Linked DNA regions of Lonchura striata. The protein of the gene in region 1 purifies or fractionates together with the protein of each later gene. This does not show direct contact. Links are inferred from orthologs where the notes say so. Each region holds a gene or a part of one and is shown on either strand. Other genes may lie near its edges.

Region 1 (7,786 bases):
GAAGACTCAGTCTTAATTCCTTTATGCATTTTGATTTCTGTATTTAAACAAAAGGAATGAAAACCAAGACAATTATATACATCCTGCACAAAATATTCCACAGCATGAACAGCATGGCAGCAAATCCTAGCTCAGATGAGCTCTGTTCCAAGCCTGCATGGAGCCAGTTTTGTTCAAAAGGGATTTGTCAGCAGTGGCTGAGGTTTCACAGCACAACAGTTTTCAACTATAAAGGCTGTTTTAGATTTACAGTAAAACTCTAAGAAGGATTGGAGAGACAAGGAAGAATCCCACAAATACTATTAGCCAGCTCCCTTAAGTGATACCCATGAACACCTCATTACCCATAACAAGGTCCTCCTCAGAGATGCTTTTCACTTTGCCCATGTAATCATATTTTCTATAACAGAATGGTTACCTCCATATTGCAACAAAGTGGGACTCCATAAATAATTCAAAAATCTGCACCTCCAACATTGCACAGCTCAGCACCTGCTCCAGGTATAAACATTAAAGGACCTTTCCTACATGGATCCACTTTTTAGCCCATTTAAGGGTCATTACATCCATCCTGTTCTCTCTGAGCTATGAGGTCAGAGCTCATTCTTTTCATTACATCCTACTTATAGCCTATAGGAATAACAGAGTTATAGAAATAAGTTTACTGTGTTTAATGTATATTCTTCTTCCTTCATGTCAGTGGATCTTTGAGCTTCATTACACTACTGGCATCCAGAGTTTACATCCCAGGGGAAGTTTTACAGCTCAGTTTACCATGAGGGGTCTGAGCATAGCAGGATGCCAGACCTGTGGGGAGGCCCCTGCTCTACATCACACAGGACACACAGCAACAGATTTTTCCTTCTTTCTGCAACTTCTTGTTCCCGTGCCCAGGAACCCTGCAGACAGTAAAACACTAGCAAAATGTATATTCTGGACAGGGGTCTTTGGCACACATCACAGTAAAAGATTTTAAGCACATAGCAATGCCAAGGCAGTGTCTGTCTACCCCAGCCAACACACAGAAACAAGAGAGAAAGGGAAATAGATACAGACTGCAAAAAAACATCCTTTTCACCAAAGGCTTTCCAAAACAAGCTTTACATTCTGAGCAAAGAGCAGAGCTTTCTTCTCAGAGGTCATGTAAGGCCATAAGAAACTGAAAGAGTTTGTAAGAAACGCTCATTTCAAACACAGCATTGCCACAAAAGGTAGCAGCAGCAGCACACTGAAACTGCAGACTCTTGGCACAGCCCAAAGGCAGCAGTCACAGCTTTTATCTCTAGCAATCATCTCAGAGATTTCAGACTGCCTTCCCCTCTACAGCTTCTTCACACAACAATAAATACCTTAAAAGTTTTTCACTCTAGTCCTTAACTGGGAAGTTGTCCTGCAACACAGCCCAATCAAACCATCCAGCAGACATAAACAACTGTCTTATTCAATTTTAAAAGCCTGTATAGTTAACATATTTTTAAAAATCTAATGTTTTCCCTTATATTCTAGTAAGTGCCAAAATACTTTTATCTACAAAACTGTCACAATGATACTGGACTTCTACAACACAAGCATTCCAAGCACACTCATGCTATGACGTTAAAAGGCATTATATTAAAGTCAATGAATTAAAAAGCCAAATCCCACACTAACCTAAATGAAAATAAACTTGATGCTTCCCTGAAATAAATCAGCAACAGATGTGCAAACCAAGTTCTGATGTTTCTGAGCTGCAGGAACTTCTGAGCAGAGGGTGCCAATTTTGTTTCACAACTTCAGCACAGCAGTTGGCCACTCTGAGCAACAAATTCCTACCTCAGTTTTTGAAAGCAGCACATAAAAATGGAGGTTCAAGGAATGGACAGGGACATTCACCTGGTCACACCTCCAAAAGATGTGTATCAACTGACACAAACTAAGAGTCAACACATCAGCCAGCACGTTGGAAATATCTTGGCTATCAATTTGTCACTGAGTCTTACATTAAAAGTTCTGCTTACATTTTCATAATCCTTCATGGTCCGAGCTCGAGCTGGTGAGACTGTGTCTTCTGCCACATCTGGTACCACTAGACATTAAGTAGACAGAACAAGTTCAGACAGCAGAATCTCTCTAAGTAGGGCTTCAATTTGGCAAAGGTCTACACTAATCTAAACACAACAAAACCTTTAGGGAAGTGACAGAGTCGCTGCTTGGCCCCCTGTTTACATTACGTGCCAGTATCTACATTCCTTTCTGATCACAGAAAGCTGTCTATCACATAAACTCCCAAATTCCATTACCCACCTAAATGATGATGCACACTGGAATTCGGCTGTGTGAGGTGCGCTGTCAAGAATAAACCCTCACAGCAAGAACTGGGAGATGCACAGCGCGCAGCTTCCCGAGCCCTGAGCAGAATGTGACCGAGCAGCGCGGCCCCGCTGGATATTCCAAGTATTTTAAGTACACGCCGCACAAAACCGCTGATCATCTTATATAAGGCTGAAAGCCCTCATGACCACAGGCAGCGAGCACACAGCAGTGACGGCAGCAGCTGTCGTGTTAAAAACTCTTAAATTACGTTAAAAAGCGCATCACTTAAAACCTTTTTTTTTTTTTTTTCGTTTTTGCCGCCAGTTTGAGTTCCTTTTTGCCGCAGGTTTGGGGAGCAGCGCGAAGCACCGAGCCGGGCAGGGAGGGATGCGCGGGCTGCGGCCGCGACCAGCCTTACCTTGTCGGCCGGGCGGGCCGGGCGGGGGGTCCCCGCGGGAGATGTCCGGGAGCTGCAGGGCGCTGGGGAAGAAGGAGGAGAGCGCTGAGAGCACAACCCCGCGGGCTCGCCCCCCTCACCCCATCGGCGGCCGGGCCCGCCACACGCACCGCGCTGCCCCGCCCGCAGCTCCCCCGTACCTGCCCTCGAACGCCAGCGGCAGCGTCGGGTCCTCGCCCGGCAGCGAATCCATGGACGGGCCCCGCGGCTGCCGCGGCTCCCGCCGCCTTTGTGCGCGGCTTTGGCGGCTTCCCTGGAATTCAAACGCCCGCAATCGCTTCCGCCATCTTCGCGTCGAGCGCGCTGAAGCCGCCGCGGGGCGCGCGGGGGGCGGGCGCAATGGGAACGCAACGGGAGCCGCCCTGTTTGATGAGGGCAGCGGCCATGTCGGCTGAGGGCAGAGCGGGGCGGCCGCTGCGGGCAGAGCGGGGCGGCCACTGCGGGCAGAGCGGCCGCTGCGGGTAGAGCCGGGCGGCCGCTGAGGGCAGAGCGGGGCGGCTGCTGAGGGCAGAGCGGCCGCTGAGGGCAGAGCCGGGCGGCCGCTGAGGGCAGGGCAGAGCGGCCGCTGAGGGCAGGGCGGCCGGGCGCTGTGAGGGACGGAGCCCCGCGCTGACCGCCTGAGGGGACGGGGCGCCCGAGGCGGCGCGCAGCGAGCGGGGAGCGGGTGATCCCCGCCGCTGCCCGGGCCCTGCTCCATTACCGCACCCATTTGGAAGGGAGGCACCAGGCGCCGGCTCCTGCCGAGCCTGGCAGAGCCGCTGGAGCTGGTGTTCACCGCGTTCCCCGCTGCGCAAAGCCGTCACTGGGCTTGGCGGAAGAAATAAACACGCGTTAGTTCCACGTTCTGGTCACTGCTCATCGCAATCGGCCTGCTGCAGGCAGCTGCTGACATCGTCCGCACGGGCGGGTTCTGAATCATCTGGGAATTTTTTTGATGAAGCAAAGTTGTAAGCGTGTCGGCTGTCCCCCTTTTTGTGGGAGAAAATGCCACCGCATTCGATATTTCTGAACATCGAGCTGAACGGGATAAAACGCTGCTGTTGTGGCCCCTCCTGCGCGGGGCATGGCCTGGGTAACAGCGCCGGTCACAGGTGGAGCTCCGGACCCTGCTTGCTCTGCATCCTTTGCCTTCCTTAAATTCATTTAGAACCCGTGTGCAGGATTGAAATACCCCCGGCGATATTTACATGATCACAGAGTCACAGAATTATTTAGGCTGGAAAAGACCCCTGAGATACGGAATCCAACCTTTGACTAATCCCTGCCTTGTCAGCCAGCCCAGCGCACTGAGTGCCATGTCCAGTCGTTCCCTGGACACCTCCAAGGACAGTGATTCTATCACCTCTCTAGGCAGCCCCTTCATAATGTCTAATCACCCATTTTGTGAAGAAATTTCTCCTGATGTCCAACCTGAACCTTGCCCCTACAGCTTGAAGCCGTTCCCTATTGTCCCTATTGTTCCCTGGAGCAGTGCCCGACCCCCCTGGCTGTCCCCTCCTGTCAGGAGCTGTGCAGAGCCACCAGGTCTCCCCTGAGCCTCCTTTTCTCCAGGCTGAGCCCCTTCCCAGCTCCCTCAGCCTCTCCTGGGGCTCCAGCCCCTTCCCTGGACACGCTCCAGCTCCTCAAGGTCTTTCTGCTCACAAGGGGCCCAGAACTGGACACAGCACTTGTGGAACCTCACCCGTGCTCAGCACAGGGGACAATCACTGCCCTGCATCTGTGGCACACTATTGCTGGTATAAACCAGGAGCCATTGGCCTTCTTGCCCACCTGGGCACTTGTTCAGCCATGTCAAACAGCACTCCCAGGTCATTTTCTACTGGGCTGCCTTCCAGCCACTGCCCCAGAGTGCATCAAGAATCAAGTGGGACTCAAGTCCCTCATGCTGGGACTTGCTCTTAGCATTCTCTGTAACACAAGGAAGCACAGGAGTGACCCTGTGCATTAGATTTGGTTTCCTCTTTTGGATTTGGTTTCCTCTTTTGTACCAACTCAGGTCAGGTTTCACTCACTTTCCTTTAGACTATCTCAAGGGGACTCTTACCCAGCCAGGAATTAGGCCACGGATAAGGGCTGACCACAGGCCATGAATTCTGTGAGCTCATTATTCCCAGTTCTGTGAGTTTATTATTCCCAGTTGGCCTGGTGCCCTGTGAACTTCACTTCCTCCATGTACCTGCACTGTTTACATTGGCACTCACCTGTCAAATGCCCCAGACTGGTGGGAGCAGCCACTGCAGCTCTGGATGTGTATGGTCATGATGGGCTTCCCATCCCTGCTTAATTCTTTCAGCTTCATGTGTACAAGTGCCTGACGGAGCTGCAGCAAAGTCCCAAACTGCCAGAAGTGCCAGGCACTACTTAGCACAAGTAAAGCTCTTCAGCCCATCTCCTGTCCAACTGGACAAGCCTCATGCTTTGCATTTGGGGTCTGATGACCCCAAGGGATGTTTAGTCCCTTCAAGTCCCCGTGAGAGACCTCAAGAGACACTGGTCACCTTATGTGACTGAAACCCTTTTGCAGTGGCCTCTGCCAAGCTGAAATTAAGTTCACAAAATCAGGTCTGCCATATGGCACCAGGATCTGATCAGCCAGGCTGAAATGTGGGTTTTCCTCATTTACAGAGCAGATCTTCATAAAATGAGTAAGTCCACTCACTTGAAAGGATAATACCAATTTGTTTAATCTTGTTTAAGGTTTCAGCGAGGTGTTACATATTTGATGTGGGTTTTTAAATCAGCATCCATCAGCCACAAGTGCAGGGTAAATTACTCTGCACACAGAGCACACAAGTCTGCAGAGTCACAGCTCACACACATGTCCAACACACTGTAGTCAAAATAAAATCAGCAGGGCCCTCCTTGTGAAGTTCATTACTTCATGAAGTGGCTGTCTGATGGACAAAGATAAGGATATATAGACATACATCCCTGCCTATCTTCCCTGGAAGTGCTCAGGGGCAAGGTGGCTTGGAGCAACCTGCTCTAGTGGAAGGTGTCCCTGCCCATGGCAGGAGGGGAAATGAGATGGCCTTTTAGGTCCTTTCCAACCCAAACCATTCTGTGGTCCTATGATTCCATGTATACACACAGCCAGGATGGAAAATTTCCCTGGGAAATTTCCTGCACTGCCCCATGTTTTACAACCCGCAGTAGCATCAGGAAGCTGCAAGGGGCAGAAAGGACTGGGAAATGTGTTGTTTAGAAGTAGTTAACAACATGCCTTCAGATAATCTGCTTAGTGTTGTTTAACCTTAAATTCATTAGCAGCACATTTGGGGAGATTACACTAAACCCTCACACCAGGAAGCTTTGTTGGAACTTTCTTTCTTCTCAAGGCAGCCTGAGATCCTTCCCACCTCAGGCAAAGTCCTAAAGGGAGTCTGGGAAAGGATTTCTGGGCAGTGCAGTGTAGGGCTGAGCTGAGCAGGACGGGAGCCAGCTGCTGGCTGTGCTGGCACAAGGAGGGCTGATGTCACCACCAGCTGAGCACGGGTCCCCTCACCCTGCTCTTCTCACTCCCTGCTCTGGGGACCTGGTTCAGACTCAGTTCTGCCTCCTCCTCACACCATTCACAGCAAGATTCTTCCTAAGTTAGGTCATGCACGATCCAACCGCTCTGCTAATGCAAATCTCAATAAACTCCCTTGAATTTCACCAGTGTGGCCCTTACTTACACAGCCCAGTCAAACCTCTGCATGAACACTTAAAAACACATGCTCGATCAGTGTATGAAGCCTTACCTCTCCAAGTTCTTTGCTTAACAAGAATTGTAGAGTCACACAGAGCTTTCACCAAAAAAGAGCCTTTAGCAGTCGTTTGCAAAACAAAATCAATTTCCTAACTCTGCCAAGTGAGAAGGAAATGCAAGTTTTCCACAGGCCTCTCTGCAAACACTCCCAGAACTGATGCCACAGATGTGGATTTCAGAATATTTGTAAGAAAAATGGCCTTTGAAAGACATCTGTGGTCATGGGGAAAAGTCTGATACAATATCCTCATCCCATTTCCAGCTTTGCTCTGAGGGTTTTGTTGCTAGTGATTCACATCTCTGACAAAATGTGTCCATGTGAATGATACAGAAAACAGTGGGAAAACAGTGATTGCCTGTGGAGCTCCCAAACACAGCTGAGGGCTGGGATTGTTCATAGCAGACACAAGAGATCAGAGGGTTCATTTTTCAGTTGGATTTTCTGACACAGAATGTCAACTGTGCTTATGAATATCTGTGATAGAAAACATTTTTGTGCCTTGGTTCTCATCTCGCATACAGGGGCATAATGAAGAAATAATTCTCTTGGAACAAATGTTATTACTGGGATGAGATTGGATTCAATCCTTTCTGTCACTGGGAAGACTCTTGCTGAAATTCAATGAACAAAAACACGAATGCAAAAATCCAAGTGGCATAGATACAAATTATATACATTTATTTTTATTCATTTTAAATAACATTCTTCTGTATAAATTCTGACATATATTCAAATCATACACTTTTTTTTTTCTTTTTAGAAATGCATTTGTAAGCATAGCATATGCTTGGGAGACGCCGTATTTGGATGTAGAGTGAGACTGATGGGTTTCAGATGGGAGCAAGTAAAACTTTTAAGGCCCACATTTTTCTTATTTTAATCCATTCCTCTGACACATAAAGAGCAGAGTCCTGTGGGAGCTCAATCTAAATTTCACTTCAAAGAGAAAACTATTTTTATATCCTTTATTTAAAGGAGACTGCAAACTTTCTGCCACATTTACATTGCCTGTAACATTGAAGAGGATGATTCTGCACAGCAGTGGTTAACTGGCCCAGGATACCTGAAGGATGTTGGATATATCCCCTCCTCTTTCCTAAATGCCTGCTAAGTTTGCTCAGCCTGGTCCAAAGGAATTATCATTCCAGTGGCTGACATCTCCTGAAGCTCCCCAGGGCTAGTGCTCCTCGTAGCTATTTCCAGCTACAGTGGTCCACGAGATTGGACAGCATCTCTCCTCATTAGCCCAACTTTTCTGCACGTGTGTTGCACTCCAAGTGCTCCC
Region 2 (7,050 bases), on another chromosome or scaffold:
CAGAGCAAAGGTGACCCATGCAGAATTATTCCCCTACCTTTTCTAGGAGTTTGAGTTTCAGTCGTGTCAGGTGATCCACCACTGAAGGATCTGCCATTATCTTCTGGAAGAGCAGGCAGGCAAAAGCAGGTTAAAAAGCTAAACAGAGACAGATAGGCTTTCAGTGCTCATTTTTTTCCCCCTCCACAATTTTCACAGAATAATACCATTATTAAAAAACAGTAATACAAGATGAGGAGAGATTGAGAGAAGCAGATAAAAGCTTCAGTTTCACTCCCAGGCCAGAATGAGAACAGGCATTCATAAGTTCACAGACACAGCTTTTTCCTGCCATTTCTCTCAACATACTTTTGTGCTGCAGGTTGTGATGTTCACAGGAAGGCAACTGAGACTGAATATTTATTTATTTGTCTCTTCCTAATGGTTGCTATCCTTCCCCTGGCAGCATCTCTAAGCCTGGCCTCTGTGTTGTTAGAGACTTTTAATTAGCTCAGAGATTTGTGTCTGTAACCTGGTTGCTAAGTTTATAGTGTCAACAGGTAACATAAACAATTTAATCTCCAAGCACAGAAGCTTGTGTACCTTTGGTAAAGCAAATGCCTGGCACATTAGTGGACAAGAAAAAAAGAAATAAAAGCCAATGGTTCTTTAAAACAAGGCCAGTGCCAGCAGTCAGATTATGATCTTGCTGACTGGTACCTGTTTATTCCCCTACAGGGGGTCTGCACACTTCTGACGTAGCTCTTTACGTGAGTTATTACCACAGAGTGACTGAAAAAATTAAGGAGCATAGGTGGAACTCTCCCCTGGCTAAGTGAAGAGGCTATGGTGTAACATCTCCCAAGAAACCTGTAGAATGTCTCCCTCTCCCAGCATAAAAACAGGGTCACATTTATCAGTGACATCCATAAAATGAACACCAAGGCAAGAGAAAAAAAGCCAAGGAACAGATACACCTTCTCAGTAGGATATTTTAAGCCCAAGAGAGTCAAGTTACAATCCACTGCTCCCAGGAGACAAGTTACAAGCCTCTCCTCCCTCAAAGGACACAACAAAACTGCAGCAGAGCCACTGCTGGCAGCTGGAGCAGTTCAGAGATGTGTGAGAGCAGTACAGATCACCTGCCCCAGCTGTGACCCACACAGCCCATCCCTAAAAACACACAGGCTGGAAGGCACTGGAGAAATTAGGGCAACTAAGGTGCAGGGATCCCTAAAACAGCTGTGCTGTGCCCGAGCTGGGGCAGGGCTTTGTGGTGAATGGCAGGAGCAATGAGCCAGAACAGAAAATCCTCTCACCTGCCAGCAGCTCTCCTGGGAAACAACTCCCAGTCCAATTCTCTACTTGAAAACACCAAACAGAATTTTCTCTAACATCTTTGACTGCTTCATCTGAGCAGCTGCAGCTCAGACAGCTCCTAACTTATAAGTTCATAACTTATAAGTTCCTAACTTATAACTCCACAACTCCTAGTTATGGAGTTTCCTAAATTATAGGAAACTCCATAACTAGGAGTTTCCTAGTTATGCCTGTAAACTGCATCAGCATAGCTTGTTTCTGTGCTGAGAGAGAAACCCACCACTTTTGGATTGCTGGCTGGTTATTTTATCAACAGTGCTCCTAAAAGCTGAATTTCTAGACTTCACCATCGTATGAATAGAGGGTTACAAGAGAACTTGACGAAAATAAACAGGTATGAGTATTGCATTAAAAATACAGCACCAGTGTGAAGCAACTGAATTTCCTAAAGAGGAAATGAAGAGAAATTTTTGCTTGATGTAACAGATAGCCCAGAGAAAATCTAATACTAGGGGGTAGGGAAATTTTTTTTTTTTTTTTTAATGGCACTTTCTAGCAAACCTGCTAAAGGAGCTATCTCTTCCCACACTTATGGATGCCTTGGTCACAGTGTGATCCTTACCCTTGGGACATCTTAGAACCTGCTCATTAATTGGGTGCCAGGAATGTGCCAGCCACACACAAAATCTTGCTTGAAGGGATCTGTAGCTACACTGAATCCCAAACAATGGATCACACTTGAGAATGAGGATTCAAAAGAGCAAAACCAGACAAATTTAATCCTACAGAGGAATAACAGGTGTGTTACATGCACCTCAGAGGACATCATTATTCTGCTCTATTTAGCAGTGCTGAAGTCAGAGTTTGGACACTGCACTTAGTTTTAGACATGGTGGTTCAAGAGGGAAGGAAAGTCCAGGAAAAAGAAATAATAAAAAGGTTCAATTTACAAAATGTAGGTTCCAAGGAACACTTCAAAAGAACTGACTTTGTTCAATTAGTAAGTAGATGGTGAAAAGAGGACAGGCCAGCAGTTTTTAAATAAATTAGAGGATACAATCAGAGTGGGGTGAAGGGTGGGGGTTGTATCTGGAAAAACACAAGTATTTGGCTTAATGAGGAAGAGAAAAACTGATAAAACCAGGGAAAGAAATCTTCATTAGCCACTAAGGGAAATGATGAAGCAGCTATCAAAAAAACCCCCAACTTTCACACAAGTTGTTTACAAACAATTATAAAACCAAACTTGTTGAACATTGCAGGATCCCTCAGATATAAGAATGGATTAGATAACCTGATGAGGACCATACCAGTATTGAATTCTTTGATGTCTTGTATTGATTTTGATGTTTTATACCTTAATTTTAATTTCTATGAGTTCTGAAAGACAATTTAAAAGGATGTTATGATAACAACCAAGATGATTAGAGGGGTGGAGCAGCTCTGCTTTGAGGAAAGGCTGCGAGAATTGGGATTGATCAGCCTGAAAAAGAGATTTTGGGGTGACCTAATTGTGGCCTTCCAGTATCTGAAGGGAGCCTACAAGAAAGATGGAGAGAGGTAATTTACAGGGGCCTGGAGTGGCAGGACAAGGGGAAATGACTTCCCACTGACAGAGTAGGTTTAGATTGGATATTAGGAAAAAATTAATTTCTGTGAAGCTCTGGAACAGGTTGCTCAAAAAATCTGTGGTTTCCTGATCCTCGGAGGTGTTCACTGAGACATCTCATCATTCAGACTTTGTCTTTTGGCGTTGCCCTCGAGGCAGATGGGCTTTTTAATGCTTGCCAATCCAGCACACTGCTCCAAGTAACAGATTTGACTAAAGCCTGTATTTTTATAATTTAATGATTTCAAAACACACACAAAAAAAAGCCACTAGCTTTGTAGCATCAATAAGCAGAGCAAAAGGGAGTTGAAGGTTGGACATGTGGGACCTTCAACATATGGCCCTTCAAGGACGTTGGAGTAACCAGAAGACTCCAGAGGAGATAAAAGCCTGGAAAGCTGGAGACAACTCCACGTCCGAGAAAATGACGATAGAGGGATGAAAGAATGACAACCAAATTAGCATGAAGAGCAAAAAATCAATTAGTAACACAGGACAGAATACTGATTACCGAAGACAATCATGCACCTCAGAACCCATGGCCATTAACTGATTTCTTCACCGAAAATTTACAAATAAGCGAAAAGGCAGGAAGGGAGCCAACAACCCTCGCTGCGCCATAATGGCATCCCCAGCCTCGCCTACATTGGCTGTCCGCGCTTCCCATTGGCTGTCCGCGCTTCCTATTGGCTGTCCGCGCTCCCCATTGGCTGCCCGCGCTCCCCATTGGCTGTCCGCGCCTCCCATTGGCTGTCCGCGCTCCCCATTGGCTGCCCGCGCTCCCCATTGGCTGCCCGCGCTCCCCATTGGCTGCCCGCGCTCCCCATTGGCTGGCTCCCGCGCTGGGCGGGAACGGCGCTCCTTTTGAAATGGCGCCGGGCGCTCCCATTGGTGGCTGCCGCGGGGGGGGCGGGGCCGGCGGCTGGCGCCGGCTTGCCCGGGGTATCCCAGCAGCCATTTAGCAGGAGTGGGCGGAGCCCGGCGAAGAGAGCCGTTCCCATTGGCCAGAGGCCGCGGCGCGTCGGGAGCTGCGGCCAATGGCTGCGGAGCTCCGCCCGCGCGGTGCGGCCGGCGCGGCGGCGGCGGCGGCCATGACCGGGGCTGCGCTGCCATGACCGGGGCTGCGCTGCCGCCGTGAGGGCGCGGGCGGCGCGACCCGGCCCCGCCGCCGCATGGAGACGCCGGAGGAGGCGCGGAGGCGCAAGCTGGAGGCAGGCAGGGCTAAGGTGAGGGGAAGGGGTCCCGGTGCGCTGGGAGAGCCGGCAGGCCCTGCGTGTTTCGCTTTACCCGGCCCGGGTCTCGCCCCTCCGTGGCGGGTTTCGCGCCGCGCTCGGATGTGGGTGCGGGGCGCCGGCCCGGCTGTGTCCCCTGCAGATCCCTTCCGGCAAGATTCCGTGTGTGGCTGGCTCATTCCTGGCCCCCCGTTAATGAGCAGACGTCCCCAGAGGAAGGACCGCGGTGGCCCCGCGGCAGAAGTCGTGCAAACATTGCCTCGGGCCGACAGAGCAGCTGACAGCAGCGCTCCTACCGCCCTTCGGGCTCTGTTTTCCGTGCTTGTTCTTTGCTGCCTGCCAGCGCTCCCGGTCTTGCCCAGGATTCGGTGTTTGTGGGAATGCTGCGTTTCCAGCTGAGGGTCCCAAGGAGCGGGTGCTGGTTTATTACTCGGCCGGCTCACTCGCTTGCCTGGTGCCCGCAGGGAGAGCAGAGAGCTGGGCTCCGTTTGTTGGTTTCCAGTCATGCCGGAAGCAAACACTTCATAAGCTTTGAATAGTCAGGTGTCTTCACTGGGGTGTAGTTTAGGGACTTGTGTAGCGTTCACAGGATATAAAGATAACACTCTCCAAGTAATTATTACCTGCAACCATGTGTTTAACGCTGGTTGTGTTCTAACCCCGTTAGATAAACACTTCTGCTTTGTTTTGGTAACTATGTTCAAGGAGCTGATTGGAAATGTTTGGTTATTTTCCTTTCAGTTCAGCATTTCTGCTGGGTTTTGAGCTGGTTTTGTCATGTTTCTGTTCTGGCTGTCCCTGCTAAATAAGGCTTTTTAGTTCTCACCATTCCATTAGACTGGAGGGGGCTGTAGCTAGAGGAAGTTGTGACCCATCAGATCTTTCCAGATCCTTTACTTTTTGCAGGGAACCTGTCTGGATATCTGGCTAGTGGAGTCAGAGGTGGCTTGGAGCTGTCCTGTGTGTCTGCTGTATTTCTGTTTTAGCTGCTTTCCACAGTGCTGTGCACAGGAAAGTCAAAGAGAGCTTTTGTGGAAGGGAGCAGGGTTGTAGCTGAAGCTGCAGCCTGGTGATGGGCAGTAGAGTTCCTCCTGCCCTCCCTGATGCTGCCATGGATTCCACACTGCCTGCTCCTGCTCAGCAGTTTCTCATCTGCCTGCCTTCCCAGCCTTGTTATGTGCTGTGAGAACACAATCCTCTGCTGGAGAGCAACTGTTCCAGAGAGAGAGCTCTGAAAGGATTTCTTAAGGTTGAAAGGTTACCTTAGTATGGCACAACCTCTGTTAACATTTCTGTTAACATAGATTAATTCCAGGTGCAGGAGTTTTTTTATTATTAGAAAAATGTGACAGACTTAGCTTGAGTAAGTTATTAGTTCCCACCTGTTGGCAAACTGTTGTTTACCAGTAAAAGAAACAAAAAAAAAAAACCAAACAGGGACTTGCCTTATGTTCTTATGTTTCAAGTTTTGCCTTCAGAGCCAGGATTGCATTTACTATTTTTTATACTGTGTGCTAAATCTCTCTTCCCATTAAAAACAAAAAGCAAACCAGGAACAAACATGATTGGCAGCCCCATCAATGTTGCTGCTGCACAGAATGCTAAGAGGAGAGGGAGAGTTTTAGAGAGGCAGAGATAGATGTAGCACTTCCCCTGCTGATTAAAATGTCACAGAGATCTATTCCTTGGCTGGCAGACTGTGGGCACCAGACAGCTTTCAAAAAGCACCCAGGTGACATTTCCCCTTTCTTATTCCTCTGCTTTTCATTTTTCTATTTTTCTTTCTGCTCCCCTCCTCATGGATATAGCACAGTTTTGAAAGGGAGGAAGAATTGTGAGCAAGTGCAGGTTCTCCTTGCTGTGGTGCAGCCTAGAGCAGCTTAAGGAGATCCATCTCTGGTGTGACACAGAAGTGTTCAGTGTCCATCAGATCAGCTTTCTGTACCATCTCTAGAGGAGCTCCTGGCAGGAGTGAGGCTGGCTTGTGTGTTAGAGGCCTCTGTTGTAGCAACCTGTGCACTGATGTAACTGCAGGTTGATGCTGCTTCACTCTGGAGGGCTTTTTGCCTCACCCCCACCCTCCAGAAATGAATTATTTCATCTTTAGCATCCTTAGATTTTAGTCTGCTAAGCAATGACTTGGCAAAGAAACACGATCTACATGTTCTCCTTTTCATTATCAAATGTTCTTTTTCTTATAGGAATAAAAATTCCATTATTAAGATGCATTTAAATGATCACCTAATAACATTTGTAATGTAACTGTTATATTTGTAATGTAACTGTTATATTTGTAATGTAACTGTTATATTTATTGGAGACTGTAATTGGCAGCTAAGTACCTGACTGTATCAGGTACCTCAGATTCCTATTTCTAACAAATGCAAAATACTGATAGCCAGTTTAGTATTTGAGAAACAGAACAAGCCTAATTATTCAGTGCTGCCTTTTTCTCCTCGTTTGTTTCTACCTCACATTAATTAGTCTGCATGTTGACCACCTGTGCCTCTAGTTACAAAGCTCTCTGTGCCACACTTCAGGTGTGGCAAGTTTTGCTCTGCTTCCATTTTATAGTTAGGACCTTAAAAATGAGTGCAGGTTTTCCAGGAAGTTTTCTCATCATTTTGAGGAAGGTCTAGAATATATTTATTGGTTTTGTCTAAGAGTACTTGTTGCTTATGTTTGCTGTATCCAAGAGCTGGACTAATGTTTATTTGAACAACCTCTTTTCTGTTTGGTGCTGATGTGGTTTTCTGCTCTGTTCTGTTTTCCCTGGGTGTTGGTTTTGATGCTAATTTCTGAAGCATGTGAAGTAATGCATCAGCTTTTAACCAGCTGGTCCTGGTGAATTGAAGTTGCAGTGCATTGGTACCTATAGAAAGGTGTCCTTGTGTTTCAACAGCTGCTTGG

Evidence for each region. The genes of interacting proteins can lie anywhere in the genome.
Region 2: the proteins of CDK5RAP2 (region 1) and PCNT purify together in Homo sapiens (co-immunoprecipitation; 4 studies listed by BioGRID and IntAct, with this or other methods). This does not show direct contact. The link is inferred for Lonchura striata from reciprocal best matches to the Homo sapiens genes CDK5RAP2 and PCNT.

The regions. Positions count from the first base shown.
Region 1 is NC_134624.1:1,084,676-1,092,461, reverse strand, and holds the start of CDK5RAP2 (CDK5 regulatory subunit-associated protein 2), read right to left. Parts: upstream 3,071-7,786; 5' UTR 2,943-3,070; coding exon 2,890-2,942; intron 2,773-2,889; coding exon 2,711-2,772; intron 2,066-2,710; coding exon 1,998-2,065; intron 1-1,997. UniProt on the Homo sapiens protein: Potential regulator of CDK5 activity via its interaction with CDK5R1. Negative regulator of centriole disengagement (licensing) which maintains centriole engagement and cohesion. Involved in regulation of mitotic spindle orientation.
Region 2 is NC_134610.1:33,103,142-33,110,191, forward strand, and holds the start of PCNT (pericentrin), read left to right. Parts: upstream 1-4,000; 5' UTR 4,001-4,080; coding exon 4,081-4,134; intron 4,135-7,050. Other genes in the region: C8H21orf58 (uncharacterized protein C21orf58 homolog), read right to left, coding at 38-97. UniProt on the Homo sapiens protein: Integral component of the filamentous matrix of the centrosome involved in the initial establishment of organized microtubule arrays in both mitosis and meiosis. Plays a role, together with DISC1, in the microtubule network formation.